Linked DNA regions of Bombyx mori. Each later gene encodes a partner of the first gene's protein in a complex. Links are inferred from orthologs where the notes say so. Each region holds a gene or a part of one and is shown in the gene's direction. Other genes may lie near its edges. The genes, in order: dynein regulatory complex protein 1, dynein regulatory complex protein 8, dynein regulatory complex subunit 3, dynein regulatory complex subunit 4 and dynein regulatory complex subunit 7.

Region 1 (7,059 bases):
AATTTTAAAATATTACATTGGTTAGGTTAGGTTACACAGGTTCCTTCGTTGCCGGCAGTATACGAAGGCTGCGCCTGGAGGTCCATGTGGCGTCACGTCCTGACCCGCGATAACGGCGTTGCAACGTCCGCAGCCTGAGATCACGTCCGGGGTGGTTCACGGGTACCGCACCGTCTCGTTAAAGGCGGCGTGCGTGCTCGCCGGAACGCCTCCCTGGGGCCTGGAGGCCGAGGCACTCGTTGCGGATTGTATGTAATTAGGTGACCTCCGCTCCATGGGGAACCGTCCCGGCAAGACGGAAATTGGAGCGGGGAGGCTTCAATCGAGGCGTAGTCTTGCCGCTTGCCGTCTCATCTGCCAGACGACGCAGGCACTAACGGGACACGCCTCCTTCGGCTATTCGATGAGTAGCCGGCGAAGGATACGCTCGCGTAGTGCCCTGCTTTCGCAGAGCAGTGTCGCGTATTCGTTGCGAAAATAGGACCGCACCTTTTTTTTTTTATTGCTTAGATCTTTGGACGAGCTCACGGCCCACCTGGTGTTAAGTGATTACTGGAGCCCATAGACATCTACAACGTAAATGCGCCGCACACCTTGAGATATAAGTTCTAAGGTCTCAGTATAGTTACAACCCCACCCTTCAAACCGAAACGCATTACTGCTTCACGACACAAATAGACGGGGCGGTGGTACCTACCCGTACGGATTCACAAGAGGTCCTACCACCAGTAATTACGCAAATTATAATTTTGCGGGTTTGATTTTTATTACACGATGTTATTCCTTCACCGTGGAAGTCAATCGTGAACATTTGTTAAGTACGTATTTCATTAGAAAAATTGGTACCCGCCTGCGGGATTCGAACACCGGTGCATCGCTAGATACGAATGCACCGGACGTCTTATCCTTTAGGCCACGACGACTCAATCTGTCTTCTTCTTTCAATTCTTAAGACTCAATCGTCTTATCCTTTAGGCACCTGTCGCTGTCGAGCATCGTGGTTACGACGGTCGGCAGCGACAGGTGCGGTCCTCGTTCCCGGCGTCGCTGTCGTCGACGCATGTGCTGTAGAAGAGCAACCCGGTCGTACGGGAAAAAAGGATAGTCTTTGTGGAAATGCATTTCAAACCTCAATCGTGTCTAGAAGAGCAAATGTATTCACGTTATATTTTTTGTGCGGTCCGGCATAGATATACCTACACTTAATAAAATATGGTCCGGTACGTAGAGCAGCGTCGTGCTGCGCTTTGTTGAGAATCAGTGTTGCGCCAGGTGATTCGTAAAAAAAAAACAATTTGTCGACTTCCCTTACCTACATTATTCTATCGACTAGAGGTTCTTCACCTTAGAGACCTGCTGCGAATATGGGTACGAACCGGCACGATATCTCCACGAACCTACATCCCTCACCTGAATTTTCATGGTCCGCAGAGAGTATCCGGACACCGCCGCAAATGCATAAGGTGTGTGAGCTGTACCTTATTTTTGTCTGCCTCATCTAATAATAAAAAATCAGCTCACAACTTCGTGTAGTTTAAATAAGTGACATTTAAAGTAGGTACCTACTAATGATCCATATTTAGGTAGATAGCCAAATACAACATACGAGATAAATAAATGGCCTTCCGATAGAATAAAGTTAAATTTTGCTATAGACATTCCTTTAAATATAGGCGGTCATTAACAGCAGACTCTAAAGTAAATCCTATTCAGTATAATTAAGTGATAATTGGCCTAAATCAAAACAAAAAGACGACGTTAGGAAATACAAATAAAACGCGGTGTAACGGCTGCAGGTAAAGGCTTGAGCATGCATTGTTATGTTCCATTATCGACGGTGATCACACACTATGCTATATCTATATCACACTATATCTTTATGATGAGCCAAATGTTCAATTGCCTAAAATGGCTTTAAAAATCTAATTACCTACTTACTTACCTAATTATTACTATCTATATCACACTATATCTTTATGATGAGCCAAATGTTCAATTGCCTAAAATGGCTTTAAAAATCTAATTACCTAGATAGTTTCTTACACACCTTAAATATTCAAAATTAGAATTTTTAAACAAACCTTACCGCATCTTTCTCGACTATAAGTAGGTACCTTGGCAAGCGATGTCACGGAAGCTATTAAGTAACTAGCTATCTCTCACACATTTTGAAATCTCACGCAATTAGTGACTATTGTTTGTGGGGTTAGTGGACGACGGACCACGCTTTAGGAAGTAAAGCTGTAATATACTTTAGTTTATAACCTAGCTTCTATAGGCTAGACATAACGGATGATAGATTGTACAGTTCTACTTTTGAAATTACAACGAGACAAGCGACTCATTGATTTGATCACATCAGTCTTTTTATAGTATTTGATATCAATTTTCTGCCACTTTCTTTATCTATGACGTTCTCGTTGGTTACCATGACAACTGTAAATAACCATCTTTTACAGAAATAATTTAGGAAATGTCAGGCAGATTATTAGAATAATAACTATGGCTGGAACTTTCGAAAGATATAATGACGAAGAAGACGATGTCCTCGCTCCTACAGAACCTCAAATTACGTCACATGACCCAGTCGAGAGAAAAGCAGCTAGGTCTCTTCGTATCAAAAGGAGACAAGAAGCGTTAAAAAGGTTTTCTAATATCAATTCCTATCTCAATAAAATATTGCTATACTTCTGAGATCAAATACTGATTTAGATCACCAAAATATTAGAATTACCTAAATTTATTATTCACAAAAATATAAGAACACGAAATTAGTATTAGGTATTCCAATTATTGACTTCAGCGGTTTGATACATTGAAAATTATATCAAATGGCAGAATTATGAAATTTTAATACATAAACAATAACTTTTAAATGTCTTTATTCCACACTGCTTTTCCTTTTGATTATCATTAAATAGATCAGAACAACAAACTGAAGAAATCGTAGCAGATGAAGATGCTGGTCCAATAGAACTAGCTACAGCTACCGCTGCAGAGGAGTTGCAGAGGTTGAATCTTGATGGAGCTGCTAAAGTTACCAATGTCAAAGTCACCACCGACGAACGAGAGGTCTTAAGAAGAGGATTATTCGCAGATAATATGAGAGGTATTTTGTGGAATGTGTTCATTTGTAAGGGGTAGAATTTCCTCTAGTTCATGTACTGTTACTACATCTACTGTTAACAGAATTACAGAACTATTATATTGTTTGTGCAACTTATATAAACGTTTTTTTTAAAATAAGATTTGATGAAGAAGATAGAAGACGAAGCAACAGAGGCGCAGATCCAGTATGAAGCTATTACGTCAAATTGGAATACCATGCTCAATATCAAAGATCCATTAGATATAGACGCAGAAATGAAAAAGCAGAGACAAAAATGCGATTTCTTAATGGAACAAAAAAATGAAGTGATAACTGAATTAAAGAATAACCTACAACAAATGGATGATGCTTATTATGAAGACTTAGATAAACAAGTGTGTAATAATAACTGGCGATTGACTAAACCACATAACAATATAATAAGTTAGACAATCAAAGTTAAACATAATTTTAATAGCCATATCATTTTAGGATAAAGATATCAAAGAATTGTCTGATAGAATCGAAAAACAAGTAACTATAATGCAAAGAGCTTATGAAAAACAACTATCCTTGATAGAACAAGCGATAAAAATCGAGCGGGAAGTTATGGTTGATCACAACAATAAGCGTTGGGAAGCTCTCTACAAGCAACGTGACAAAGAAGAATTAGCTCATATGGAATATAGATCAAAGCAGGTAGTACCCTACATTAATGAATAGTCTCGATTTGAGCCTCGAGTGATGATTATTTGAGTCGTCTATTATCAAAGGTGGCAATCTGTGCATTTGGACAAAAAATGTTATTGATATGTCAATACAGATTGATTTGAATATAATCGTCTCCTTCAAAGAATACGGTTCAAAACCAGCATTAAATAAAGGTTAATACTTAACCTCTTATTTATCTTAGATGTCGTTCAGAAGAGTTTTGTGACTGCCAATGGAATACAAAGTCAATAATTCGTTTTTCTGATTTACCAATAATTGTCCAAAAGTCACATTGCCGGCTTTGATAATAGTCGACTCATTTGACCTATGATGATTGTGATGATTATTTATTTACCTATAATATAATTATTTGCAATTTTACTTGAGGAAATTTGAGCCCAAGTCAACGCTATTCATTGTCATCAAGGCCTTCCTACCTCTTACAATGAAGTATTGCTGTAATTTGATTTAATTTCTATACGGTTGAAACTATTATGTAATACATAGCTTCGTTGCACTTATATTGCTATAAAGTTGCAACTATTTCACAGTTAGAAGAACACAAGCAAGAAATAGAAGTAATTATGTGGGATCATCATGAAAAGTTTCGTGAAGCTAAAATTGAACTCGAATCTCTAATTCAAGAACTGCAAAGGGAATTAGAAAAATTGAAAGCCACTTGCATTATAAATACGGAAAAGATTGGTTACAACTATCAGGTTAAAATCAATATTCCATTTTACATACTTCTGACATCACACAATTCTCTTCTCAAAAATTTTCTTTTTATTTATTGCTTAGATGTGTGGACGAGCTCTCAGCCCACCTGGTGTTAAATGGTTACTGACATACTGCCCTAGACATCTACAACGTAAATGTGCCACCCACCTTGAGATATAAGTTCTAAGGTCTCAGTATAGTTACAACGGCTGCCCCGTCCTTCAAACCGAAACGCATTACTGCTTCATGGCAGAAATAGGCGGGATAGTAATATCTGCCCGTGCGGACTCACAAGAGGTCGTACCACCAGTAATTGTGCCAAATATAAATTTGCGGGTTTGATTTTTATTACACGATGTTATTCCTTCACCGTGGAAGTCAATCGTGAATATTAACAAATAAATAATGAAATATATTGTACTTACCTAACAACAACAAGGTAAGTACAATATATTTCATTAGAAAAATTGGTATTCGCCTGCGGGATTCGAACACCGTTGCATCGCTAGATACGATTTTTTTTTTTATTTTTATTAAAAAACAATCACACCCCGTTAACTGGTCCCGTGATAAGTTCGTAAAGAACTTGTGTTACAGGTACCAGATAACGGATATAAATGTAAGATTTTTATTATACACATAGATATATTTAATATACATCCATAACCCTGGAAAAGATATTTATATTTATCATACAAATACCTTTTCTTGGCGGGATTCGAACCCGCGACCCCCTTGTGTAGTGACCATGTCACTTACCACTACACCAGACGGCCGTTTGCACCGGACGTCTTATCCTTTAGGCCACAGCGACTTCAAAACACACGACGACACAATGTTGCTGTAGAGAAATTTTATAAATATGTATTACGAAATATCTGAGAATTGTTTGTCTTTCAAGTGTTTCTCGGATTCAGCGGTTCACATTTTTTTATTTTTTTTTATTGCTCTTTTAGGCAGACGAGCATACGGCCCACCTGATGTTGAGTGGTTACCGTCGCCCATGGACTGCAGCAATGCCAGGGGCAGAGCCAAGCCGCGGCCTACCTTGCTTACACAACAATGAATATTATGTTTTTATGTTTTCTTGTCTTTTCGTATGTAATTTTTAAATTGGATATTTTGAACGGATCTCAAAAAAATTCCATAAGAGAGCACGTTCGATTTTAGAATTCGTACGTTTAGTATAAAAAATGTATTCCAGTTATATCTATCAGGCTGAGTAAATAAATGACTAACGATGAAAATGATGTACTTTCACCATTAGTGGTATGTTGTAGATCCTAAAGAAACGCGAAGAAGAAAATGTTTTTGTCCGGTCACAACAAAAAAGAAAACTTAACAAAATGTCTGACGTTGCTAATGCACTACGTGCGAAAATTCGCAAGGCTGCTGAAGAAGGCGCCATAGAAGAAATTAAAGCAGACGCTGAAATTGTAAAGTTGATGCAGACAATGGACGATTTGGAGAAAAAGTCTGATCAATTCAAGCACGTTAACGATTATAAGTTTTGCCAAATATGGCGTATGGCAACGCATCGTTGCTCAGAATTAAGTAAAGAGCTAAGGCAAGGTGAAGTGGCTTTACATGCTCAGGTTCTAGCCGGACCACCTCCGCCTCCTCCACCGCCATTACCCAAAAGTCCATTAAGCAAATACGGTAAACTGGAGACTGGAAATATCTTCATTAAAAATATATATTTCATAATTCTTATGGGCTTTGAACGTGGTTTTGTTTGCAGAGCAACGAGAATTAGCTAATAAAGATAAATCGAATGAATTAACTGAATCAAAATTAGACGAGACGAAGGATGGCAGATTACAAGCGGCTAAAGAACGATTGGTATGTCATAATTGATGGACAGTAACTTACTATTAGTTTCTTTTCTTTTTTTTTATTGCCCTTGTAGGCAGACGAGCATACGGCCCACCTGATGGTGAGTGGTTACCTTCGCCCATGGACTTCAGCAATGCCAGGGGCAGAGCCAAGCCGCTGCCTACCGCTTAATACTCTCCACAAGCCTATTTTAAAGAAGGACATGTCATAGCGCTCAGGAAACACCGTGGAGGGGAGCTCATTCCATAGCCGGATGGTACGTGGCAAAAAAGACCTCTGGAAACGCACTGTCGATGAACGCAGCGGTTCCAGGTGATATGGATGACCTCTGCTCCGATGGCGGGAGGTGCGATGATAAAAAGGAGATGAGGGGATCATCTCAAACAATTCCTCAGAGCACTCCCCATGGAACATACGGTACAAAATACAGAGAAATATAAATATATCAAAATACGAAATTGGACATCACTCGAAATGTCGACCCCAAGTATCCCGATACTTGCGGAAGGCTGAAGGAATACTCTTTGGAAAATGAAGATCTCTTGAAATAATAAACAAAACAAATTACACAGGTTCGGCACATTCTTCAACTAGTCACAGATAACACGGGATTTTTAATAGAGAATCGCTTACTTAAATTGATCGAGAAATATCAACCAGTCTCCAGAAATTTGTGCACTTTAGATGCTATATTTATGGTACGT
Region 2 (7,139 bases), on another chromosome or scaffold:
GTGACCGGTGCTTGAAGTACCTAAAAGCACCGTTAGTGGATCGGGAGGATCCGAGATGACGTGTTTTGGGCGACGTCGACTGCTTTCGATTCTGTCCGCAGGATCGGGAATGTAGTTACCGGCGGCCACGATGAGAGGGTTCTCGTGTCGTGCCGCTTTATCGAAGTGTATTTAGGGTGTTAAGCCAAATTAATAAAAATTGATTAAGGTGTATCCCTTATCAATATTCTTAATTTAGTCTTCAAATAGTTTAAGCATATAGAGCATTCTGGCATTAATCATAAGGAAAATAATTATTCAAAACTCAAATTTTTTTTAACTATCTTTTTAAATACAGTGACAATATTTTTTGTAGTACAGATGGTAACAAGCTATAAAGCATGATGTAATCTAAATGTACAAGAAATTTATTCTGTATAATTATTTATTATGGATGTACATAAATTATTATATGCTTGTTGAAATTTAATAAATAACATTTTTTTACTGTTTACACAAACAGCACTCAACCTTTTATTTTATTTATTTATGCATTCATTACTATTTACAAAAATGGTAAAGACAACCATAGTGATTACTTTGAACAAAATGATTTAAAACACTGTTGTTTTCATTTGAAGTAGTTTTGCATGTGAATTAATCACTACATTGCTTGTTTTCTCTTAATCTCTAATTTCATAATTTAGATGAATTTTTTTAGTACATACATTCTTTTTATGATATTAAATTAATAGTTTAATAAATTATTTTAACCCTATATATACTATATACTATCCTAAATACAGTATTGTATGTTCTACAAAACTACTTTCCATAAGGGCTGTAATTGTTCAGTCGCATAATTGATGCGTTTAGCGAGAAACAAAGGGGCGCTGTTTCAACCCCATACAAAATTGAGTTGACTTTTACATGATTGAGAAGTTCAAAAACTTACACTAAGCACTCTGGCCAGTTCTAATGGTTGATTTTCTTATATTAACTCTGTTAGTGTTTTAAAGGAATTAAAATAAAAAATTACTTCTTCAATAATGTTTTTATGTTGTTGTTGAAAATGTTTTATATATTAACTAACAATTTTAAAATGTTCACAATAATCGAACATTGCATTCATTAACAATGTTCTAGGTATTACCTACTCTATTATAGTCTGATAATAAATATTAATTGTAATTGAAATACTACATGACATTTTTTGCTTTGTAAAATTTGGGAATCCTCAACAGAATGAAGCATTATTTCGCACCTGAACAAAGACTTGTTTTGCAAAGCACCGGTACAAGTCGCACTAGGGTCCTGCTCATTTCCCTGAAATATCATATACCACTTATGCATTCAATTCTCTCTGCATCCACAGTGTGATTTCAGACTTTTTTGTTTTTTTCTCTCCATAATTTTTTATTGAACTCTATAATATCTGTTGCAATACTAAGCATCCACCACAGACAAAATAAAGTTGAAACAAACTTACTTAATTTTATTATTTAATAATAAGTTTTCTGTGTTTGTAACATATTGCATGCAACCTATTTTAGATAAGGTTGACAGTAATATGACCATTGTAATCTTCATCAATTTAATGATAAACATTGCTTTTAAAACACAGATCATAAACAAAGTATGGTATTTATTTTTATTTAGTAGATTAGGTACTTAATTATTATTTTAAAAACCATCTCTGTATATTATCTTTGTTATCTATAAGACTGTGATGAATAAATTAATTTGCTACCCATGCTTTTTTCAACAATTCTGGAAAATATTAGTCTTAATATTTCATACTAATCAACATATTATCTGATAGCAAATTTAAATAAAATAACAGTAGTTAATAATTTCGTTGAAGACCTTAGAGGAAAACATTAATTAATCAAGGTTGTATCCTTAAAGTTACTTCTATACCTAAAAATACTATATCTGGACATTAGAAGCAAAAAGACGTATACATTTTGTGCAAAAAAAGCTTTTAACTGATTTGATTGAATTTCGTTTTATTTTACTTTGCAGAATCGAGCTCTTCTTACCTATTATTAAGCCTAAGAATAATCATATGAATGAATTTCCCATAAAACAGTGTATACATAAATTGATATCGATGTCGAAGTTTTCAAACCGATTACGATTTGAACTGTTCAGTTGGAATAACTGCAATAACTGATATGCGTCGTTGTATCAGTAAAAACATATAAAATACTTCGAAAACTTAATGATGCTGTACATTAATATTTAATAAATTATTAGATTTTTATGCGATTTTATCTCATGCTTGAGTGTGAATAAAGTCGTAACCTTGATTTTGGCGTCAGATATTAAAATAGGTGTGTTTGCAAATCTCTAAATGGGACAGCAAACTGATGTATGGTTACTACGGAAGTTAAAGTTACTAAGAATCACACTAAATCTCTTAAAGTGGAAACAACAGTGCAACAATGATCCATGATTGATCGACAAATGTACACGTGCAGTAATTAAAAAAGTCCCTAACAACAATTTCAGCAACATTACTAAAAAACTGTACATTACGCATTAAATAATTACATCTGAAATCCTAACCTGTTCCAGTTTTCGCTTCGAGTGCTTTTTTCAATCTTTCTACCAAAGCCGGCTTGTTTCCCTTCGTATCTAACCCGAGAGCACCCAACTCGGACCTCAAGTCCACCACCTTCATTTTAGCAGGATCCATTGTATTAATCGTCTGATAGTATCCACTTCACAACACTTTAAAGTTTTTAAAACACATGTGCTTAAATAATATTAATTCTATTACTATCTGAACGAAAATTCACGACAGAAAAAGCGCCAACTAAATCCAAAATGGCGATTTAGCGGCGCATCAGCATAACGGAAGGAAATGGCGGTATATTATCTATGGTGGGGATTGGCGATTCCAGAATTTTTTGGAATAAGCTATTTGTTGTAAAATTCAAAAGGCCAAGGGTTTCTTATCCATACTACTCAAAAGTCTGGAAGCCTGCTGTTTAATCAGTATAGATTGGATTGTTTTTACAATGAATTTATTTTCTATTTGATTTTCTATAAAAGCATATTTTTGTGTTTTTTAAAGTATATATTTTTTTTTAACTAATATTTTTTGAATGTGGTACGACAATTAAACATCAACATGTCAACAATAAGCTATTAATTTGTACATTGGTTGAATTAAGCTTTGTCAATATTGTGGAGGAGCTGTTAAAACTGGGAGCTAATCCTAAAAAAAACTAATTTATGGATAATAGGTCTAACTGTTTAAAATATTGCATTGTCAACGGTCCTTGATAAGTACCTATGTCAAATTTTGATTTCAGTCTACGTTTTGAAGGGGGTCAAAATCATGTTCAAAGCATCCGTCACATATATACATACTAACTTACAGCAGCTCTGGTGCAAAATAGAACTAAAGCTTCGTCGATGACACTAGTGATAACTGATAGGTTGTGTTGCCTGGTTACGGAATATTTTTTTCAATTTAATACGTGTACTTATTAGTGTTACAAATCTTATAATTAAACTATTAGTTCATTATGGCAAGAAAAGAGGAACCTAAAAGTTAGTTATTATTTGAAAGATTTACTTTATATACATTTAATAATTTATAAACGAGCGATGTAAATACTGTGTAATTTAGTATCACTCATTAAATTTTATTATAAATGAATACATACATAAATACATTTATTAGTTGAAATTTAAACAAAACCAAACATTTTTATTGGTAAATAGATATTACGTCTGGTATAATATCTGATATATGTCATATATTGGTATATCTCATATACCTTAAATGTATCTTTCTAGTTCAACCAAACAATGATTTGGAGAAAAAAATAATTGAAGCTTTCGAAGTATTTGACCATTCTGGGAAGCAAGTCGTAGATGTAAGGGAAATAGGAACAATTCTTCGATCTTTGGGTAATGCTTTTTTTTCTGGTTTTCGTTAAATGTTTTAATACTTTACTAGTGTAATAAAGAGTATTTAAAAAATTCTGACTCTCACGGTAAATTAAAAGACACGAGTCACCACGAGTAGCCGATGGCGCTTGGAACAGTGCCGAAGTATCGCGAAATCATACTAAATATCGTAAGAATACAATAGCCGTGTTTACAACGTAATTACGCATGAAAAAAGTCATCATTTTGCTTTCCGTGCTCCAATTTTTCACCCTTTTAGGATAATAGATATCTCAATTTTAGTATGACAGTGATTATTCACGTCTTCGAGTCGCTACAAATTATTTAGGAGGAATAGTCGGAATGAAGGTGCTCTCCTCTCCGAGCCGGTCTGTGTGAACGGACCCTTAGGCCGTTTTTTGTTTTGGAAACTTCTAAGCGGATAACTGTTTGAGTACTAAATAGACTGTTTACATGGTAAATTTTGAATATAGCAAAAGAGACGTTAAATATATGTTTTTTAAAGGTTGCTGTCCAACTGAAGCCGAGATACAAGAGGTGATTTTAGCAACGGAAAACAAAGAAGCAACTGGAAACGTTCCGTTAACGAACTTTTTACCTTACATGTGTAAAGTCATGATAGAACATAGGTTTGTAATATTAAAATTAAAAAGGTTAAACAATTTTAAAATTTTGACAGTGTGGCTCAATCTTCGTTGTTATTTTTCATATCTTCTTTTTAATATAATACTGGCAGACCCGGCCACACGTTGCTGTGGCTAAGGTTTTTGTTTCTAATTAAAACGCGGCCGACTATGCTAATATCAAAAATTGACAAAGAACAATTGGATTTCACTGTATTGCGTTTACTACGAAATAAATTACCTACACTTATACTTTAGCCTAAGCATCATGTGGTGCTTATGCCATTAAATTGTAGCTTATGGAAACGTTGGAATTTTTGACAAAGCCAATTACGCCATTGATCACCGAGATAAGTAGATTTTGATGTTAGCTTTCTACCTTTCGTACGTGAATTTTTTAATTTAATTTTCCATAAAATGTTCATTATGTCAGGTATTTTATTTATTAATGGGACAGGTTTTATCCGGCGAGCGCTGAAATGCTGTTGGCTGCATTCAGATATTTTGACACGGAGGGACGTGGGTACCTCACTAAAGAGAGGTTCGCCAAGCTTATGATGGAAGAAGGAGAGTCATTTACGCAGGTACCTTAAAATTTCTTATTATTATCTATATCTATATATATAAAAATGAATTGTTGTTAATCAGTCTCGCTAAAACTCGAGAACGGCTGAACCGATTTGGCTAATTTTGGTCTTGAATTATTTGTGGAAGTCGAGCGAAGATTTAAAAGATAGATAGATATGAAAATGCACGGAATTTAATAAAAATAACAATTTTGTTTTTCCTTTGATGTGTCCCCTGTCGGTCTTTTATTTATCGATTGGGGTACTACGAAGTCTGCCGGGTCAGCTAGTTTTAAATAAAACAATTCGTTTTCCGGCTGCCTTCACTTTATGTCGTATAATATATTGTTACGCCGGTAAGAGTAACGCCATCTATCGCTGAACAGCCGAAACGAATACCAAATGATAGCAACATCTAGAACGCTCGAAAAGTACAACGCCATCTATTGTCAGGTAGCGGAAGCACGCATTGAAAGTGCTCGACTTGTGAGGAATGTTCTCGACGATTCTAGGGATGTCGTATCGACTTTATAAGCGTTGCAGAGATGCTGTCGACGTCACCCAAAACACGTCATTACGGATCCTCCCGATCCATTAACGGTGCTTTTAGGTACCACAAGCACCGGTCACAGTCCTCGCCGAACTAAGTTTCTCGCCGAATCTTCTCAGTGGGTCGCGTTCCCGATCCGGTGGTAGATTCTGCGAAGCGCTGCTCTTGCTAGGGCCAGTGTTAGCAACACTCAGGCTTGGGCCCCGTGAACCTTCATGTTAGGGCGAAACTGAAATAGTCTCTCGTGTTTGTGAAGTGTTTTAAGTGTTCTAAGAGATAACACAGTTTCAATTCGTACTTCGATAGAATTTTTATTTATACCGAATCGTATTATAATATAACATTATTTTTTATAATTAATAATCCTAACACTATACAACAATAATCCATAACATTAGTTATTATAAAATAATACCGTGTTATATGTTATGCTAACAAATACTATACTGTTGTATATGGATATGAATTGACTCGGTTAAATTTCAACGAGTATTCTTATGGCTCTCATTTTTTTCATGATACAGGAGGAGTACGATGAAATGATGCAAACAGCGTTAGATCCTGTAACAGATACAATAATGTACGAATATTACATCAACCAACTTATGGTGAGCGCATTCTATTTTGTTGTTTTGTTTATATTTTAGTTTATCTTATAAAGTTTAAGATTTATAATATTCTATGTATCTATTTTAATTTGTTGATTTTATATATAACTAGCTTTTACCTGCGACTCCGTCCACGTGGAATAGTTACTTTGGCATAACGCTAAATTTTACCCCCACTTCATTTACGTAGAAAGTGAAAATATTTTTGAATTATAGAATGTTATGGAGCTATTTAAACCCCTATTTTGAAACATTCTTTATTGGTGCTCCACTTGTATTGGTCTTACCGTGATGTTATATAGCCTATAGCCTTCCTGTAGGATTCAAATGGGTTATCTAACACTGAAATAATTTTTTAAATCGGACCAGTAGTTCTTGAGATTAGCGCGTTCAAACAAACAAACTCTTCAGCTTTATAATATTAGTATAGATATGGATTTATTTTATATTATCTGCTGGTATAATATGCACAGTTAGTATATTGCTGGGGTGGCCAACTTGATTAGAATCAAGATCAACTGTTTACTGTCGAAGCACTACATAAGCACTACGATCTACCAATGACATTTCTTGAAATTTATGAAACAATGCAGTTCAGTATACAAATAAGTAGTATATTTTCTTTTATTGAAAAGATTAACATAAAGTTGAAATTATACAATAAAAGAGAACTATTGCGTGGAAGAGAGAATAAATAATGTGAGGTAATTGTCATTTACAAAAAATGTATCTTTCAATGATACAATTATCATTTAATGATACAAGATGAAGATGATGCGTGCAGCAATTGGTGATTACGTTGCGCAGTCTGTTCTATGTATTTATATTTTTTTGTCTTGCCACGATCGATGTAAATGGAAAAATTTGATTCGAGCCCTACACCCCA
Region 3 (5,450 bases), on another chromosome or scaffold:
CAATGTCACAGCCTTTTATGATGTGTATCATTAGGTGGGTACTTTTACATAATATAATAATTTTTTTTAAATATATGTCTCTCATACACATACATACCTATATATCACTCAAATCAAATATAAAAGTCTAGTCTAAAAAGTTGAAACTTGATTGTTTTATTTGCCGATTGAAGATTATTTATTTAATAGGATCATTATTGAATACGAAAACAAAAAGAGGCCGCTTGTAAATGAAATGCAAGAATTCATAAACAGGTTCACGACGAAGCAAGCTACCATAGAGGAGCTTGAGCCGTTGATAGTTGACCTCGGCGAGACCTTCAATGAGGTCCTCTACCACCTGTGGAAGAGTCTCATGACCATAGAGATGCAGCTCTACGAGCAGTGTGAGGTATTTAATTTTATTTAGTATCTACCTAATAAAACCTAATACTTAGTAAATTTTTATAAAAACATCCTCTTTTAAATTAATTGATTCATAAAACATAAAATTAAGATGTCATTGTTAGAATTTAATATTAAATGGTATTTATTATTCTTCTGTACAATTTTTGTGATGAAAATATTATTGGGGTATAACAGGTTAAGTTTTCTCTAGCCTTCGTATTAAGGACTGGAGACATTGTGAGTTATCACGATGTATGTGACAAAACACTTTTCAGACTAAAGACGAAAGATATATACGTACATAATAAAGATACAGTATAGTATTTGCTAAGCCTAAGTTTTTTTTAGACAGCTTTATTTTCTAATCACAGGAATCTCGCGTACAATTTTCTGTTAACATAACGGAAATGGTAACGAAACTGTTGGAGGTATCTCGTAACGCATTCGGAGCGTGGCGCGAACAAGAGGGCGTCTGGTCTATGAGACAGTTCGAGGCGCTGTCAAAGCTCCTTGGGAATAAGCTCATCTTGGGAGACGTACCCCCAGAGTTATTTGAGGTTGATTCACATTTTTACACACAGTTGAGATCTTGGTTGCACTTTTTAAATTAAATCAAGGTTCTACATCGTGAAACGTTTTCAATGCTGAAGGTGAAATGTACCTACTATGCCATAAAGTGACCCGCAATGTAATGCAAATCTAGCTGGCACGCGCCGCCCTGTTACGATAAGACCGCCAATAAATTGTGTGATAGGTTTTTTTTGTAATTGCTTAAATGGGTAGATGAGCTTAGGGTCCACCTGGTGTTAAGTGGTTACCGGAGCCCATAAACGTCTACAACGTAAATACCGCTATCCACCTTAAGACACGAGTTCTAAGGTCTCAGTTTTTACAGTACAACGGCTGGCCCGCCCTTCGAACCGAAACGCATTACTGCTTCACGCCAGAAATAGTACTCAGAAGACGTCCTACCAGTAGTAAAAAACGTTACAAATATCGATATTATTAACAATAGTGTATTAGGAATCAGGAACTCAATCAAATTATGTTTTCGTTTTTGTTACAGTTTCCAATTCATCCTTGTTTAAACTTAAGATACATTTTCTCAACTTTTTTAAACTAATTCTTCTTCCTTAAGCAATTTAATCTTGTCAATTGTTGGTGTGTTGTTCAAATTTAAGTTCTCTGTTCCTTGATAAGTTTGTCGTGTTGCAGGTGATGATGGATCGAGATTTAATGATGAATTTAGTGGCTCAATCCTCGGATAACCACATGCGTTTTATTGATGGACGCGAGGATTTGCTCATGACCCGTGCCAACAACTGGCGAGATGAACTTGTACAAGGCACTAATGAGTGAGTATCGAACGATCCTTCCTTCACTATAAAAATACAATAAAAATAATTAATACATGTACCATTTTGATAAGGTGTAAAAGGAATAATATAGTCTGGGTGCTCATAAAATAAAATACATGCTCCGTTGTCAGATTAAGGAATAAATAAGTTTATCTATTTCTAATTTTAAGTCCCTAAGTAGGTACTATATAATAAAGAAAACATTGTCAATATGTATTTTTCCCTACATAAGCGCTCGTAGCCTAAGGGACTAATTTAGCTACGCGACAGAGAGCTACTCTTATCTTATCTATGCAGACTACACTAATAATAAACAGTTAAATCAAGTCATCGCGCTTAATAAGCAAGGTCAATGACCACTGCAACTTCTTTCACCGGCGTCTTTAGTCAGTACTGAGGTTTACCACTATTATTGAGATTTAGGTTTCGACATACTGCTATTCGTAAGGCTTTGGTACTCATATATAACAGTATTCGTTTTTCGAAACAGTTTTAAGTTTTATGTATTACATTTTTATAGACAGTAATTTATGCTAAATGCTTTTGTGTCTTCTGATTAATCAAATGAAATAATGTATTTTTATTTTTGCACGGTTTTATTAATAGGTATTTACCTACGAAATTGCCGTTATGTATACAGAAAGTTTTATTGTTGTCTACCGAGGAATTTCACCCGCTCAGTGGACGGATCCATCAATCTCTTTGTCGTTTAACCCCAAACTATCAATCTAAATATATACCCAAATCGGTACATCTCTACGAGTTCCTTGGTTATCTTTCAATGCTCTTCTTGAAGAAATCTGGTGTAAAGAAGTTAGGGGGCCAATAAACTCATCAAAGGCATTTTGTACTGCATATCGGGTATTCGATTTTTAGTACAAAGTCGTTATTCAAACTTTGAAAAAGTAGAAATCTGTCGGTGCAAGGTCTGGTAAGTACGGTAGATGACACAAAACTTCCAACCCTAGCTGTTATAGTTAAGAGACCGTCCTGTTGTGTCGCATGAGGGCGAGCGTTGCCGTGAAGGAGGTTCGCAATCTCTTCGTTTCGTTGTCTTTTAAGCAACGCAAGGCATACATTGGCGTACAGGCGTTATTGCGTTGGCGATCGTTAATAAAAAAAATTATTGCTTAGATGGGTGAACGAGCTCACAGCCCACCTGGTGTTAAGTGGTTACCGGAGCCCATAGACATCCACAACGCAAATGCGCCACCCACCCTGAGACATAAGTTCTAAGATCTCAGTATAGTTACAACGGCTGCCCCACTCAATAATCCAAAACGCATTACTTGCTTCACGGCAGAAATAGGCAGGGACTCACAAGTGGTCCTACCACCAGTAATTACGCAAATTATAATTTAGCGGGTTTGAATTTTATCACACGATGTTATTGCATATCGTGAGCATTTGTTTAGTACGTATTTCAATGGTTGACTTTAGTTTTCGGGTGACCACTGGGTGTATTTTTTAAAGTAAAATTTCCATGCTTGAATCGTTCAAAACAACGAGTGGTGTGTTAGTTCGTAGTGTTTACTACGGACACGTATTAATGTTGTGAGCCATTTGTTTGTGCGGCATCGTTACCGTGACGAAAGTCGTTTACCATAATTTCTCATGTTAATATCGTATCCATATTCATGAGAAATGTACAAACATAATGTTTTCACCGATCCAATAAACAAAGGACTGAATTTCAAAATGAAATTTATTCTGGATCTGGAATTTATTGCTTACTTATACAACATTAGGTACGTTTCAAATGGCCAGTATTCTAAAACGGAAACTTCATAGGTAAATACTTATTATTTGCACAATAATTTGAATATATAGCGTTCTATTACTTACAATTACGTGGTTATGTTTCAGTAACGAAGTAAAGCGTAATCGAGATCGTATATTAGAGATAAATTACTACATAGACAATCAAAGAGAGGAGTGGACTGATATGCAGATGGGACTTACTGAAATAGTAGACCCGGAGACGGTCGCCTTACTTGGTGATGACTTTTAAAAAACTAAGGACGAGGCCTGGTGGTATTGTTGTAGATATTTGTGTGGCAAATAGCATATTAATTATTCAATATTAATAAAACATTGTTTTGTTTTTTAATAGTTTTTTTTTTATAGTTGTGTTGGTGACGATCTCACTCTCCCCACCTGTGTGCTTAGTGCGAGTTTTTTAACGTTCTCGATAGCGTAAAAGTTAGTGTATATTTGTATGGAATGGGATCGTTTGCCGCTAGGGGCGCTGTTCCAGCTGCATACAAAATTGGGTTAACTTTTACGCTATCGAGAACGTTAAAAAACTCGCACTAAGCACTGGTCTAGATTTCCAGAACCCACAGACTACAGAGCGTGAGTGTTCACCTCGAAACGTGTGGTCAAAGTCTTCCACTATATTTCATAACGGTCTCACCCTTCAAACCTACTCCTAATTACTTCGCGGCAGAAATAAACTACGGGCCCACCATATGCCCTATCCTGGTGATAAGAGTTGGGAAGTTTAAGTTGATGATCAGAATGCGGTGGTATAATTAATGCTCAGAAAACGGTGCTACTCTTCAGTACAAAACAAATATAACTAATCTAATCTAGAAAACTTTTTATTGTTAAAATAATAGGAAGAGTCTATGGTCTGACCCAATGAAGTGGTACTACACTAGTAAGATGTAGTGAGTATTAAGGGTGATCCAATGACTTAAATTTTAGACATTTATTTCTATGTAAATAAACCATTTTACAGGGTATAGAAATACAAATATATATTTTTACGATTTAACAATCTTTATTGAAAACATAAATATTACATGTAAAACAAGAACAGTACAATGTAAATCATATCAAAAATTCAAAACAGTACATATTCTAATTATTTTCATATTGTACACGGTTTTGGCACAATTTGAAGTCTACTGAGTTGTGGGATCAACGTTCCATTTCAACGTCATACAATGGTTACTTGAGGTCATTTACAAAGTCAATGCTACATTTCATGCTTGGTGTCTCTATTATTGTAGTCTTATATTCACTTTTATATCTATGACAATTATTACAACACTAATTCTAAGTACTTATTAAATCAACATCATAGATAATATATTTTAGTGGTATAAAATTGTATTTATATAAATGACTAAAATATATAATACAAAATTCCTACTATTTACAAAATTTGTTAGAATGTTCAAAAATACTCAAAAGTAAATGAACAGTATTTTAATTATAAAATTTATAATTACAACATACATGTTTTATTTACATAATTGTGATTAGGCATTTATTTAGCAGATTTCTGTTTGAGAGCTTGAATGTAAAGTTCTAACGATTGTTGTACTTTCGGGTTCTGTACAAAAGTTAAAAACTCATCAGTGTCCTGTTTACGATTCTTGATGAGCCACGTCAAAGGTTCTGCCCTGATCTTTTGCTTGGTTAAAGCACGAGCTATAGGCGAGATTTTGTCGAATTTCTTTATAAACTTCTTGCATTTATCAACCGCATCAGCCTTGTCTGTAGCTAAAACGTCGATGAGTCCCACCTTAAAAAAATTTATCATGTGCGGTACATTCACAGTTTTTGTTAAAGTAAATATACTTTTAAAATAAATTTACATGGTTTGTCAATAAGACTAAATAATTTTTTTTTTTTTTATTGCCCTTGTAGGCAGACGATCATACGGCCCACCTGATGGTGAGTGGTTACCGTCGC
Region 4 (5,511 bases), on another chromosome or scaffold:
GAGCACTAAGACAAGAAATGAGAGAGAAAGCACTAGCTGCTCAAGACGAACTGCGGAGAGCTAAATTAATGCATGCCGAAGACCTCTCTAAGACGAGGGCAGAATTTGAAGAAAAAGCAAGACAAATAGAAGAAAAAGCTGAAAAGAAGCTTCAAGAAACTAAGGTAGAGTTGACAGTTAAACATCGAACCGAAATAGCTGAAGTTGAAGAGAGAAAGAATAAACAGCTGTCTGAATTGATAGCCCATCACGAAAGAGCTTTTGCCGACTTAAAGAACTACTACAACGATATCACTTTGAACAATTTGGGTAAGAGCTTAAATTTTACGATTTTATTATCTTTTAGCGCAGTTTCAAAATGTAACTTCAATAATATATACTTCAATATTTTTAAAAGAATTGTAATTGTTAACGATACTATCGTTTGCTAAAAGTTTTCCAGGAAAAGATTCCTCTTTGATTATGAAAAAAAAATCTTAAAAATATTGTGATATAAATTTGCAGACCCAAAATAAATATCCAATTTTAATGTTAAATTGCTCTTTATCTAAAGGCTTAATCAGTAGCCTCAAGCAACAGATGGAAGATATGCAGAAAGTTAAAGAACGCGCCGAGAAGATCGCGAGAGATGCAGTAGCAGAAGCGAAAGGTCTTCGAGAGCCTTTAGAAGCAGCCATCATCGACAACAAGGAACTGAAACGGCAAATGTCAAACTATGATAGGGACAAAGCTGCTTTAGCTGTGAGTATTAGTAGCCTAGTGTTAAGCTAGTGTTAAGTGGTTACCGGAGCCCACGGAATAGATAAATAAGGTTGGAATGGTAATGTAGGCGGGGCAAGCGTGCCACTGTTATGATCGAACAAACATAACTCGACCGATTCTTTCATTCACCGCGTTTAGTGCGCTTCGGAATATTTGGGCGAACAGATCTCCGCTTTATAGTGCCGTGTTGTGCAATTATAACTTGTAAAACAAAAAATCAGACCTCAAGTATAGAGCGAGGAGGTATATCTTTCGATCGGTAAGTCGAAATTACCATTTAATTACAATATTATTTGTCTAAAACATAAAAATATACTGAGCATTATGAAATTCCAAACATTAACAATATTATTGCAGCAAGTTATAAATAGCATACATTGCGCGATGTGTACTCGCCCAATGAACGCAATGACCAAGTCAGCTTCCAATGTACTACATGCATTGCGTTCTCTACACTTCAATCTTTGAAATTTCGGCCTTTGCCCTGATTGGCCGTGGTGCACGGCGCTAGTTTGTCGATAGTGAGGTGACCATGTGGTGAAATAAAATCATCGACAGAATTCTCGACTATATTTACATTTGACATGGATATTTTTTGCATTATTTTATATTTAATTAATGATACCTAGTATATTCTTAGTGAGACGTATTTTGAGTAAAATAAATATGTATTATTATTATTGAATTATTATCATTGAATTAAAGTGAAGGTATAATATAAAGGGACATGTAGACCTCTCATTTACGGGTATTTACTATATTGTCTAAGACGTATTAAAATCTAAATAAAATGCCATTTGACTTATGCAGTAAATAAAAAATTTTAGGTTTCCTAAAGAACCTAACGCCAGGGAACAATGGATTGACGTGACAGGTAGAGGAAACTGGAGACAAAGACGAGTACTATTTGCTCTAAACATTTTACTGAAAATGATTTTACCATAAAAAAAATCATAATACACTTAGTTCTGAAAAATTCATTCGCAATTAATAGCAAGCGCCAACTGCTTAACAAATACGTTTTATTCCAGCGACAGTGACTATTTGTAATTAATAAAAGTAAAATAGTTTTTTTTTTTCAATATTTATTTCATGTTTCATTTTCTCCATTCATTCATCAGATAATTTATCGATAAAGAATATCGATTTTACCAAGCACTAGCGTGTATGAACATTTTTATTGCCTTTTTGCGTGTGTGAGTGTGTATGCCTACGGGTGTTTTGTGCTAATTGCGAACGAATATCTGTCCTGAGATTTATGTGTGGGTGTTTTTGTTGTGTGCGAAATACTTGTAATCACAGTGTGTGTATGTGTAGAAATTAAAATAGTGGGGATGAAGCGGCGACACTGGTTCTAATACAAAATTAGAGCAAAGGCCTTTCCAACCTTATTTATCTATTCCGTACCGGAGCCCATAGACATCTATAAAGTAAATACCGCCACCCACCTTCATAATAAGTTCTAAGGTCTCAGTATAGTTACAAAGGCTGCCCCACCCTTCAAACCGAAACGCATTACTACTTCACGGCAGAAATAGGCGGGGTGGTGGTACCTACCCGTGCGGACTCACAAGAGGTCCTACCACCAGTAATTACGCAACTTATAATTTTGCGGGTTTCATTTTTATTACACGATGTTATTCCTTCACCGTGGAAGTCAATCGTGAACATTTACAGTTAAGTACATAATATATAATGCCGTCATCCACCTTATTAAATCAATAACTATATTAAAATACAGGCAAAAACGAAACAGCTAGCAACCCTAGAGAAACAGTTCGAAGTCTTGAAATGGGAATACGAAGTGCTACAAATACGCTTCGACAGAGTGCTAGCTGAAAGAGACGAGCTGAAGGCTAGATTTTCGAGGGCCGTACTAGAAGTACAACAGAGGGCTTCGTTGAAAACGGCCCTACTGGAAACCAAGTTGAAAAATATGGAAGCAAGAGATTTAGGACCGAGAGAATTGCATGTGAGTTAATATTTTTATTACCGATAAATGAATCCGGCTGTTTCGCCCCTCTTCCTTTTTTTTTCCTACCTACGCTGATGGTCTTGAGAGACCATTTCAGCGTAGCCTTAACAAGTAAGTGAGCTAACGGTACTCAAACCTGACGACGTTGCTAGCACTATCCCTAGCAAGAGCCGTGCTACGCAGAATCTACCACCGGATCGGAAACACGACCTTAACACTTAAAACCAGGTGGGCTGTGAGCTCGTCCACTTATGTATGCGCTAAATAAAAAAAGACTTCCTCTTAACAGTAGTAACTTTTTCATGGGTTTTACATTGTACTCACTTAGTATTAATTAATTTAAAAAGGAACTGCTCAAACTCAAAGACACCCAAGTAGAAGATCTTCGGTATGAAGCCGCACGACTTCGGAAGGCGCATGATGATCTACTCGCGACTTACGAAGCGAAACTAGTGAAATTAGGAGTGCCTCCAGAAGAACTCGGTTTCAAGTGAGTAAATTTAAATTTAGCGCCATCTATGGTGTTTAATGAAAACTAATAAATAAAGTTTATCCAAGCGACATCTAGTTTGATAAAATGAAAATATTTAAAAATTGAAACGTTTGAAAGTGTATTATCGTGATAGTAACAGATGGCGCTGTTTGCAAAATTTATGAACTGGAAATTTAATGTTATGAGAAAAAGTTTATATAGTACAAAACGTATCCACGAGATGTCACTATTACAAAACCCAAGATGTTATTTATTATAGGTATTATATTTTTTTTCAGACCATTAAAAGCCGTTGCGGTGGCCGGAGTATCGCCTGTAATAGGTCAAGGACCAGCAGGATTAGTGACGAAAGATCAATGTTAGAAATAGAAATTAAAAAAATTGTATAATATAATTGCAAAAGTTGTGCCTATCTAAATTGTTCTGAAGAGAAATTGTAAATACCAAAAAATATTTTTGTAAATCCTTTTTTCCTTTTTCGTAATAAGCTGTCACCACCATCTAAGATCATTGATAATGACATTGGCAGAGCCGGGCGACTGCGTACCATTCAAGATCAAGCTATCTGATAGATCTCACAGCGATCAGCCATTGTGCTTAGTGCAAGTTTTTTAACGTTCTCGATAGCGTAAAAGTTAACTTTGTATGGAGTTGGAACGTTTGCCTACGTTTGCCGCTAGGGACGCTGTTCCAACTGCACACAGATTTGAGTTAACTTTTACGCTATCGGGAACGTTAAAAAACTCGCACTAAGCACACTGGTGTTAGAAGGCTACCGGAACCCATTACTATAACAATATGAATGAACGAACCTTAAAATATGAGGTCGATGTTTTCGCTGTAATTGCCGGTGCCAGAATAAATAAAACCAAAAAAATGAAGCCAATAAGTGTTTTATTTCCTACTAACGTTTTTTTTTTAGTATCATTTTAATTTAATTATGTACAAAACATTCATAAGGCAATAGTTTGAAATGAAAAGGCGTCAAACATTTTTTGAACCTTTCCGCTTGCATTTTAGCGATTTTTAATTGCATTTACAAACGTTTACTATATATTATATACTATTTATGGAATTAATATATATATTTATTTATCTTTTAATTAACAATTTTCTTTTCCATAACTTAATTTTTGCACGTTAAGAACAAATTGAAAATGTTATTTACAACGTAATATACATGGGTAAGTGAATTTATAAAAATCAACAAGGTATTTGTATTAGAATGTTTTTTTTTTAAATACTTTTGTAGCTTAGACAAATAATTCACGCATTAAAAGTAATAATTTTTTTGAAAATATTTAAAATTAACAGTAATACTTAATACTTACGAGAAATGCTATTTTCATAATCTCAAAGAAACTTTGTACAAAGTGTCGTAAATTATTAAAATAGTTGTTTTAGAAAATATTACTTGTGTTAGTTACAATAAAAACGAAAAAAATATTTAAGTTTTATATAAATACAATTAAACGCGATAAGCTTGAAATAATACATAGAACATTATCAATTAATAAGGAATTCGAAATAATGATTCAAGATTCACTCTTAACTAACTACACCAGTGATTCTCAACCTTTTTTTTGTTGTGCGGCACATATTTAACGATTTCAAAATTTGGCGGCACACAAAAAAAAAAGATAAAAATTATTTACTTACTACAACACACTGCATTAATAGTTTATAAAAAAAATTTTCATATACGAAATAAACTAAAATATACAATATTTTTTTTGTGTATTTAAATATTATAGTATATTCATGTTTAAAATATTTTTCTTTTAAAATGATATAATTTACAAACTTCAGAGGTGTCAAGGGACACCCGGATGGAACGAAGTTCCTTTCGATTAATTAGTGAAGGAATTGTAATTTTTTTTTAAAGTTATAATAATAAATTACGGCATTATGAAGAAGAAAAACACAATACTATAAAGCGCCTACACGTTGATTGGTCAGAATGACGGATCTAAAAAGTGTCGTGACAACTTTTCGTAAGAATTTTTTCCGTCTAGCCCCCTTTCACAACGCGCGATAAGGAACTTCGTTCCAATAATATTAACATTATTATATATTCGAAAAATTTGGCGGCACGCAAAAGTGCCGCGGAACAATGGTTGAGAATCACTGAACTATACACAACCAAACTTTCAGTTTTGAAAAATATAATACACATAAACTATAATTTGACATGGATTTCGTTTTATGATATTGATTAATTGCTTATACGTTCACGAAAATTGTTTACTCGCTAAAAATATACAAAGTATCCTTTGTATTC
Region 5 (6,341 bases), on another chromosome or scaffold:
TTAAACCTTCTCTGGACTACCACAAATAATTCAAGACCAAAATTAGCCAAATCGAGTTCTCGAGTTTTAGCGAGACTAACGAACAGTAATTCATTTTTATATATATAGATGTATATGTATATAAATGTAGATTGGAGTATTTACTTAATCAAGTGTTCAGCCAAGCGGTCGAAATTCGTCCAGTAGCATCCACACCGCAATACTTAGAATCAATTTGTGTATTACTTTTTTTTGTTATTGTCATATAGTTCGACGTCGCTCTTGGCTCATAGCACCAGCGCATTAAGGGATGGGACAGTTACGAATGAGATTTAGACCTCATGGTCATCAAGCTGGATAGAAGCGTACAAGTTGTAGCGTTTGTCGGTGTAATTTGTTGGCGTTGGATGCTAAAGTTGTCGTAGCCTAAAGGATAAGACGCCCGGTGCATTCGTATCTAGCGATGCACCGGTGTTCGAATCCCGCAGGCGGGTACCAATTTTTCTAATAAAATACGTACTTAACAAATGTTCCACGATTGACTTCCACGTTGAAGGAATAGCATCGTATAATCAAAAAATCAAACCCGAAAAATTATAATTTGCCTATTTAGCGGTGGTAGGACCTGAGAGTCCGCATGGGTAGGTACCACCGCCCTGCCTATTTCTGCCGTGAAGCAGTAACGCGTTTCGGTTTGAAGGGTGGGGCAGCCGTTGTAACTTGCATTTACGTTGTAGATATCTATGGGCTCCAGTAACCAATTAACAACCAGGGGGAGCCTGTGGTCGTCCATCCATCAAAGCAATAAAATAATAATAATAATAATCGTTGGTTTTCAGGATTTGGAAAAAGCCCCGGCTGACGCTATTAACGGGTGGAGAACTCACGCCTGGGTCCTCGTGCTGCCGGGATACATGGGAATCGACGAACCTTTCTTCATAGAGCCGAGCGAAGGCGAAGGTCATCTCCTCGACTCAGAAAAATACCAATTCATAGACAGCGTGTACAATCACGAAAACTACTATGTGAGTTTCAACTGCAAATTTTATTGAAAACCGGCGAATTCCTGTGTCGAATTTCAACAAATTGATAGTATTTTTTAATCGGTCGATTAAAAAAGCTTTTAGGTTTAAATTAATCACGAGTACTATGTATAAATTATACGTAATGGAACATTAATTATAATAATTTTAATTATTGAGTTATTGTGTATTATATTTCTAGAACTAGGCAGTTTTAATTTTTATTAAGCCCTGGACACGCTTTTCTCTGACTCTTCTTCTTTATCTCCGCCTTATTGGGGTCGGCACAGAGAATTTTTCTATTCCATTCTCTTCTATCCACATCATTTCGGATCCTCCCGATCCACTAACGGTGCTTTTAGATACCCCAAGCATCGGTCACCGTCCTCGTCGAACCCGTCGCTTGCGACGAAGGGCTCGGCTAGTAAATTAACCCACAGACACAGCCCACTGAGTTTCTCGCCGGATCTTCTCAGTGGGTCGCGTTTCCGATCCGGTGGTAGATTCTGCGAAGCACGACTCTTGCTAGGGCTCGTGTTAGCAATATCGTCAGGTTTGAGCCCCGTGAGCTCACCTACTAGTTAAGGTTACGCTCATATGGTCTCTGTAGACCATCAGCTTAGGTATGAAAAAAAAGGCGTCATCTCAACACTCACTCCTCTCTCTCTCATCGTCATTCACACACTTCATCCCTGTCTTCTTCGTCAACCTCTTCCCCCTCTACCTTGCACTACCATTTCCATACATCTCCTAGTCACATGCATCACCTTTCTCTGACTATCGCTAAATAAATAAAATTATCAGTGAATTTGTTGGTACCACCTGTGTGGTGTTAAGAAATAAATAAAAGAGTACAACTACATACCTACCTACAACTTTTTTTAAGGCAAACGTCCAAAGCACAGACATTGGGTTGGACAGCCTGAATTATGATCTGAGCGACCTCTCAGCGTGGGAGCATCTTCTGGCCGGCGAGCCCCACCATCGGAGGCAGATGGTCGGCATTGACATCGCCGACAAGAAGACAGCTGTGCAAACAGAGAAGCATCTGGATATGCCAGTCAGCTGGGTTGAGAAACTGGAGATTAGTACTGATGGTAAAATTACGTTCGCAATTCTGAGTCGATTATTGTCTATTGTAAATCTGAAGCGAACGGGATATCCGTTACTTGGAATTTAGGGTGGTTGGCGACGTTAACTTGTAAGAGTCTTAGGCCCGGTTTGTGCTCTACGTAGCGCACTGAAGTAATTATGAGTCGACTATTATCAAAGCCAGCAATGTGACTTTTGGAAAATTATTGGTAAATCAGAAAAACGAATTATTGACTTTGTATTCCATTGGCAGTCACAAAACTCTTCTGAACGACATCTTAGATAAATAACAGCTTAAGTATTAACCTTTATTTAATGCAGTTTTTGAACCGTATTCTTTGAAGGAGACGATTATATTCAAATGAATCTGTATTGACATATCAATAAAAAAAATTTGTCCAAATGCACAGATTGCCACCTTTGATAATAGACGACTCTTATATCGATTTACTGTTGCTAACGCGACAGAATATCTAGTCGATACTGGGAAAGACGAACCCGAAGGTAATGAGAATGAATCTATGCGTAAGATACCTAAAAAACTAAAACATCGTGTATTTAAGTAGTAGGACCTCTTGTGAGTCCGCGCGGGTAGGTATTACCACCCCGACTATTTCTGCCGTGAAGCAGTAACGCGTATCGGTTTGAAGGGTGGGGCAGCCGTTGTAACTGTACTTGAGACCTTAGAACTCATATCTCAAAGTGCGTGGCGCATTAACGTTGTATATGTCCATGGGCTCCAGTAACCACTTAGCACCAGGTGGGCTCTGAGCTCGTCCACCCGTCTAAGACATAAAAAAAAGGACAATCCAAGCGCCTTAGTAACAGAAATCGACATAATTACTACTACGCCGCGTAGAGCACCGGTGACCTGCACGCTTCTCAAAGGATTAACAAAGCAATACCCTTATCAGAGTACGGTCAAAGATATCCGGGCAGCCACAAAGTGATACACTACAAGAAAGTTTTACTGGATAAGTTCTCGCCCTACTCCGAGAGGGATGGTGTAGTGAAGAGGATCAGAACGTTTGAGGACTACGCTTTGACCGTCCCGCTGATCACGTGAGTGCGTCTTCGACTTTACACAGTCCAGAAACGAGGCCTAATACGCCTCGTCACCACCGCTAAGAGAACCCTAGACTTCTCTGACGTGCGAAGGCTGTAGCTATGGAGAGGTAGAAGTAATGAGCACGCATCTTGTATAGGGAACCAGTTGAACATCTATCTATATCTAATATATAAAATTCTCGTGTCACAATGTTCGTTCCCATACTCCTCCAAAACCGCTTGACCGATTCTCGTGAAATTTTTTATGAATATTCAGTAAGCCTGAGAATCGGCTACTATCTATTTTTCATACCCCTAAGTGATTAGGGTTGTCCACCCCTAACATATTTTTTTTATTTGGACTTTTTTTTTTTATTGAGGTATTATGTGGTTGAATGAGGTTTTGTTATTTTTATTATATATTCCCTCATCGTTCACAACACTACATACCTCTTTCACTCATTTACCACATCCTTACACACTTACAATAAATTATTTTTTTTTTTTTCTACACTAGAAATTCCCTAGAAATCTTATATATTATGGCAAAACAATGTTTGCCGGGTCAGCTAGTATTATATAAAAATGAATTGCTGTTCGTTAGTCTCGCTAAAACTCGAGAACGGCCGGACCGATTTCCCTAATTTTGGTCTTGAAATATTTGTGGAAGTCCAGAGAAGGTTTAAAAGGTTGATAATTATGAAAATGCTCGGAATTATATAAAAACAAACAATTTTGTTTTTCCTTTGATATGTCCTCCGTCGAACGGATTCCTTTTGTTTGTTTTAAGTTTATTTTATACAAAAGTTTAAGTCTTTTATTTATCGATTGAGGCACTACGAAGTCTGCCGGGTCAGCTAGTCGTGTAATAAAAATCAAACTCGCAAAATTATTTGTGAGTCCGCACGGGTAGGTACCACCACCCTGGCTATTCCTGCCGTGAAGCAATAATGCGTTCCGGTTTGAAGGGTGGAGCAGCCGTTGTAAATATACGGAGACCTTAGAACTTATATCTCAAGGTGGGTGGCGGCATTTACGCTGTAGATGTCTGTAACACCTGGTGGGCTGTGAGAGTTCGTCCACCCATATAAGCAATAAAAAAAAAGTGTCCACCTGTAATCAGAAGGTTATTGTTTGAAGAATCACCGAAATAGCACCAGCGTAAGAAATGGAAATGATATGAATTTATTTAGTTTTAAACAGAGTGAACTGGGCTGGATTGAAATGAAGTGTGATAGCTTATGGCGGTGTTTTTAAAATCCTTCCACTAGCTACTGTGGCGCCCCCTTAATTGGCTCTCTTTCAGCGGACACTTTTTAATACACCAAAATGATGCTCCTTACTTCTACGCTCCATAGCTGTAAGATCAATTTGATTTAGGAAAGAGATAAACATACATCTAAGTTGTCCTATTAAAATACAATGAACGTGTTACTTACAAATATTCTACAGAGATAACGTTCTATGAAGCCGAAATTAGCCGATCGTTGCTTTCCAAATGTCGATGGGCAGCATTTATCGGCGGGCACTGTAGTTGTTTAAAATTCCAATTAAATTAAATTAATGCAGATAACGGAATGTTTTCTAGGTACGAGTGGTACAAGCATCGCGTCGACAAAATGGAAACCGTTCGAATAGATCACACGAAGCGTGAGATACGCGAGACGTTCGGTATCGGAAGGAGGGATCATTTACTCAGTAATTATTGTGTTTTTGGTTTCTTCAATACGCTTTTATTAGCTTGCTGTATTGATGGAGGAAAGCGGAATTGTCGTAACTCGAAAAAAAACAACTTTATACCAGAGCCATACGCCGGGTGGACGAGCTCACAGCCCACCTAGTGTTAAGTGGTTACAACGTAAATGCGCCACCCACCTTGGCTTGCTATCAAACGTAGGCAAACGTTCCAACTCCATACAAATTTGAGTTAACTTTTACGCTATCGAGAACGTTAAAAAACTCACCCTAAGCTCGTCTACCTACTAATCGTAAAGTTTTACTATGGAAAAAAATGTTCCACAGAGCACGTGTACTCCATGGACGCGCTGGTCGGCTCTGTGGAGGCAGTCAGGACCATGGAGTTCAATTACTACGCCCGACTTGACCACCTCACGAGGCTGGTCTGCACTACCCTTACATTCGATGAATATTATTCGAACAGAAGCGACAGGTACACTCTTAATGCTGTCCCAAATTTACGTTAGAATGCTTTTGGAGCTTGTCAGCACGATTTGAAGTCCAAGGGATATTTTGACCTCGTATTTTGAAGTAGGAAAAGTGATTGAAGTTTTGGTCTCATCGACTCCCGCAGCCACTAGATCAGACCGGCCGTTGTCTTTTCCTATCATCATTTACCTAATTATAGTATTTTTATCAGCGTTTAATTCAGCGTCAAAATTGATTTTTCAATAAGAACATTACATGAAGTCGTCGTGGCTTAACGAATAAGACCTCGGTGCATTCGTGTTGAGCGATGCACTGGTGTTCGAATCTCAGACGGGTACTAATTTTTCTAATGAAACTCAATGTACTCAACAAATGTTCACGATTGACTTCCACGATGAAGGAATAACATCGTGTAATAAAAATCAAACCCGCAAAATTATAATTTGCGTAGTTACTGGTGGTAGGACCTCTTGTGAGGCCGCGCGGGTGGGTATCACCACCCTGCCTATTTCTGCCGTGAAGCAGTAATGCGTTTCGGTTTAGAGGGTGGGGTAGCCGTGTGCATACTTGAGACCTTAGAACTTATATCCCAAGGTGGGTGGCGCATTTATGTTGTGGATGTCTATGAGCTCCGGTAATCCACTTAAATAATAAAAAATTAGACAAGTTTTAAAAGCGGTCCTTAAATCACTTTCGAATCCTTCATTCTCGGATTGTTCTCAGATTAGAATCAAGATTAGTAATATATACAGAAGGAACGAAAGAAACTAAACGTCAAATAAAGGACGTAACTGAGACGTACAGCAGAAACCATGAGATCCCATCAAAGCAAGACGTCTGGAAGAAGATCTTCCACCTCCAGGACAATACTATAGAACTGCTGTACCAATACGCGTACAATTACGTAACTAACAACACAAGGAGCTATATAAAACCTAACTTGGCTGAGACCGGCGGGAAAATCTTGTTCTATCCCGACAAAACCTCCGGGTATATCGTGAGTTGCGTTAAACAAACTTTTACGAAGAAAGAGAG

The links.
Region 2: dynein regulatory complex protein 1 (region 1) and dynein regulatory complex protein 8 share a complex: the UniProt entries of both Homo sapiens proteins name them as parts of the nexin-dynein regulatory complex. The link is inferred for Bombyx mori from reciprocal best matches to the Homo sapiens genes DRC1 and DRC8.
Region 3: dynein regulatory complex protein 1 (region 1) and dynein regulatory complex subunit 3 share a complex: the UniProt entries of both Homo sapiens proteins name them as parts of the nexin-dynein regulatory complex. The link is inferred for Bombyx mori from reciprocal best matches to the Homo sapiens genes DRC1 and DRC3.
Region 4: dynein regulatory complex protein 1 (region 1) and dynein regulatory complex subunit 4 share a complex: the UniProt entries of both Homo sapiens proteins name them as parts of the nexin-dynein regulatory complex. The link is inferred for Bombyx mori from reciprocal best matches to the Homo sapiens genes DRC1 and DRC4.
Region 5: dynein regulatory complex protein 1 (region 1) and dynein regulatory complex subunit 7 share a complex: the UniProt entries of both Homo sapiens proteins name them as parts of the nexin-dynein regulatory complex. The link is inferred for Bombyx mori from reciprocal best matches to the Homo sapiens genes DRC1 and DRC7.

What each region holds. Positions count from the first base shown.
Region 1 is NC_085109.1:8,024,806-8,031,864, forward strand, and holds the start of dynein regulatory complex protein 1, read left to right. Parts: upstream 1-2,335; 5' UTR 2,336-2,502; coding exon 2,503-2,645; intron 2,646-2,921; coding exon 2,922-3,109; intron 3,110-3,247; coding exon 3,248-3,483; intron 3,484-3,580; coding exon 3,581-3,787; intron 3,788-4,350; coding exon 4,351-4,518; intron 4,519-5,799; coding exon 5,800-6,178; intron 6,179-6,260; coding exon 6,261-6,361; intron 6,362-6,927; coding exon 6,928-7,053; intron 7,054-7,059. UniProt on the Homo sapiens protein: Component of the nexin-dynein regulatory complex (N-DRC) a key regulator of ciliary/flagellar motility which maintains the alignment and integrity of the distal axoneme and regulates microtubule sliding in motile axonemes.
Region 2 is NC_085130.1:5,992,902-6,000,040, forward strand, and holds the start of dynein regulatory complex protein 8, read left to right. Parts: upstream 1-3,385; 5' UTR 3,386-3,518; coding exon 3,519-3,543; intron 3,544-3,792; coding exon 3,793-3,906; intron 3,907-4,411; coding exon 4,412-4,535; intron 4,536-4,986; coding exon 4,987-5,113; intron 5,114-5,930; exon of another isoform or gene 5,931-6,169; coding exon 6,170-6,253; intron 6,254-7,139. Other genes in the region: heterogeneous nuclear ribonucleoprotein U-like protein 1, read right to left, coding at 2,551-2,680. UniProt on the Homo sapiens protein: Component of the nexin-dynein regulatory complex (N-DRC), a key regulator of ciliary/flagellar motility which maintains the alignment and integrity of the distal axoneme and regulates microtubule sliding in motile axonemes.
Region 3 is NC_085117.1:10,145,172-10,150,621, reverse strand, and holds the end of dynein regulatory complex subunit 3, read left to right. Parts: intron 1-189; coding exon 190-391; intron 392-758; coding exon 759-944; intron 945-1,602; coding exon 1,603-1,742; intron 1,743-3,611; coding exon 3,612-3,756; 3' UTR 3,757-3,855; downstream 3,856-5,450. Other genes in the region: enoyl-CoA delta isomerase 1, mitochondrial, read right to left, coding at 5,023-5,280. UniProt on the Homo sapiens protein: Component of the nexin-dynein regulatory complex (N-DRC) a key regulator of ciliary/flagellar motility which maintains the alignment and integrity of the distal axoneme and regulates microtubule sliding in motile axonemes.
Region 4 is NC_085113.1:2,414,041-2,419,551, reverse strand, and holds the end of dynein regulatory complex subunit 4, read left to right. Parts: coding exon 1-309; intron 310-553; coding exon 554-741; intron 742-2,503; coding exon 2,504-2,734; intron 2,735-3,084; coding exon 3,085-3,227; intron 3,228-3,508; coding exon 3,509-3,593; 3' UTR 3,594-4,119; downstream 4,120-5,511. UniProt on the Homo sapiens protein: Component of the nexin-dynein regulatory complex (N-DRC), a key regulator of ciliary/flagellar motility which maintains the alignment and integrity of the distal axoneme and regulates microtubule sliding in motile axonemes.
Region 5 is NC_085131.1:3,589,381-3,595,721, reverse strand, and holds part of dynein regulatory complex subunit 7, read left to right. Parts: intron 1-818; coding exon 819-1,004; intron 1,005-1,887; coding exon 1,888-2,098; intron 2,099-3,007; coding exon 3,008-3,155; intron 3,156-4,728; coding exon 4,729-4,838; intron 4,839-5,162; coding exon 5,163-5,310; intron 5,311-6,029; coding exon 6,030-6,303; intron 6,304-6,341. UniProt on the Homo sapiens protein: Component of the nexin-dynein regulatory complex (N-DRC) a key regulator of ciliary/flagellar motility which maintains the alignment and integrity of the distal axoneme and regulates microtubule sliding in motile axonemes.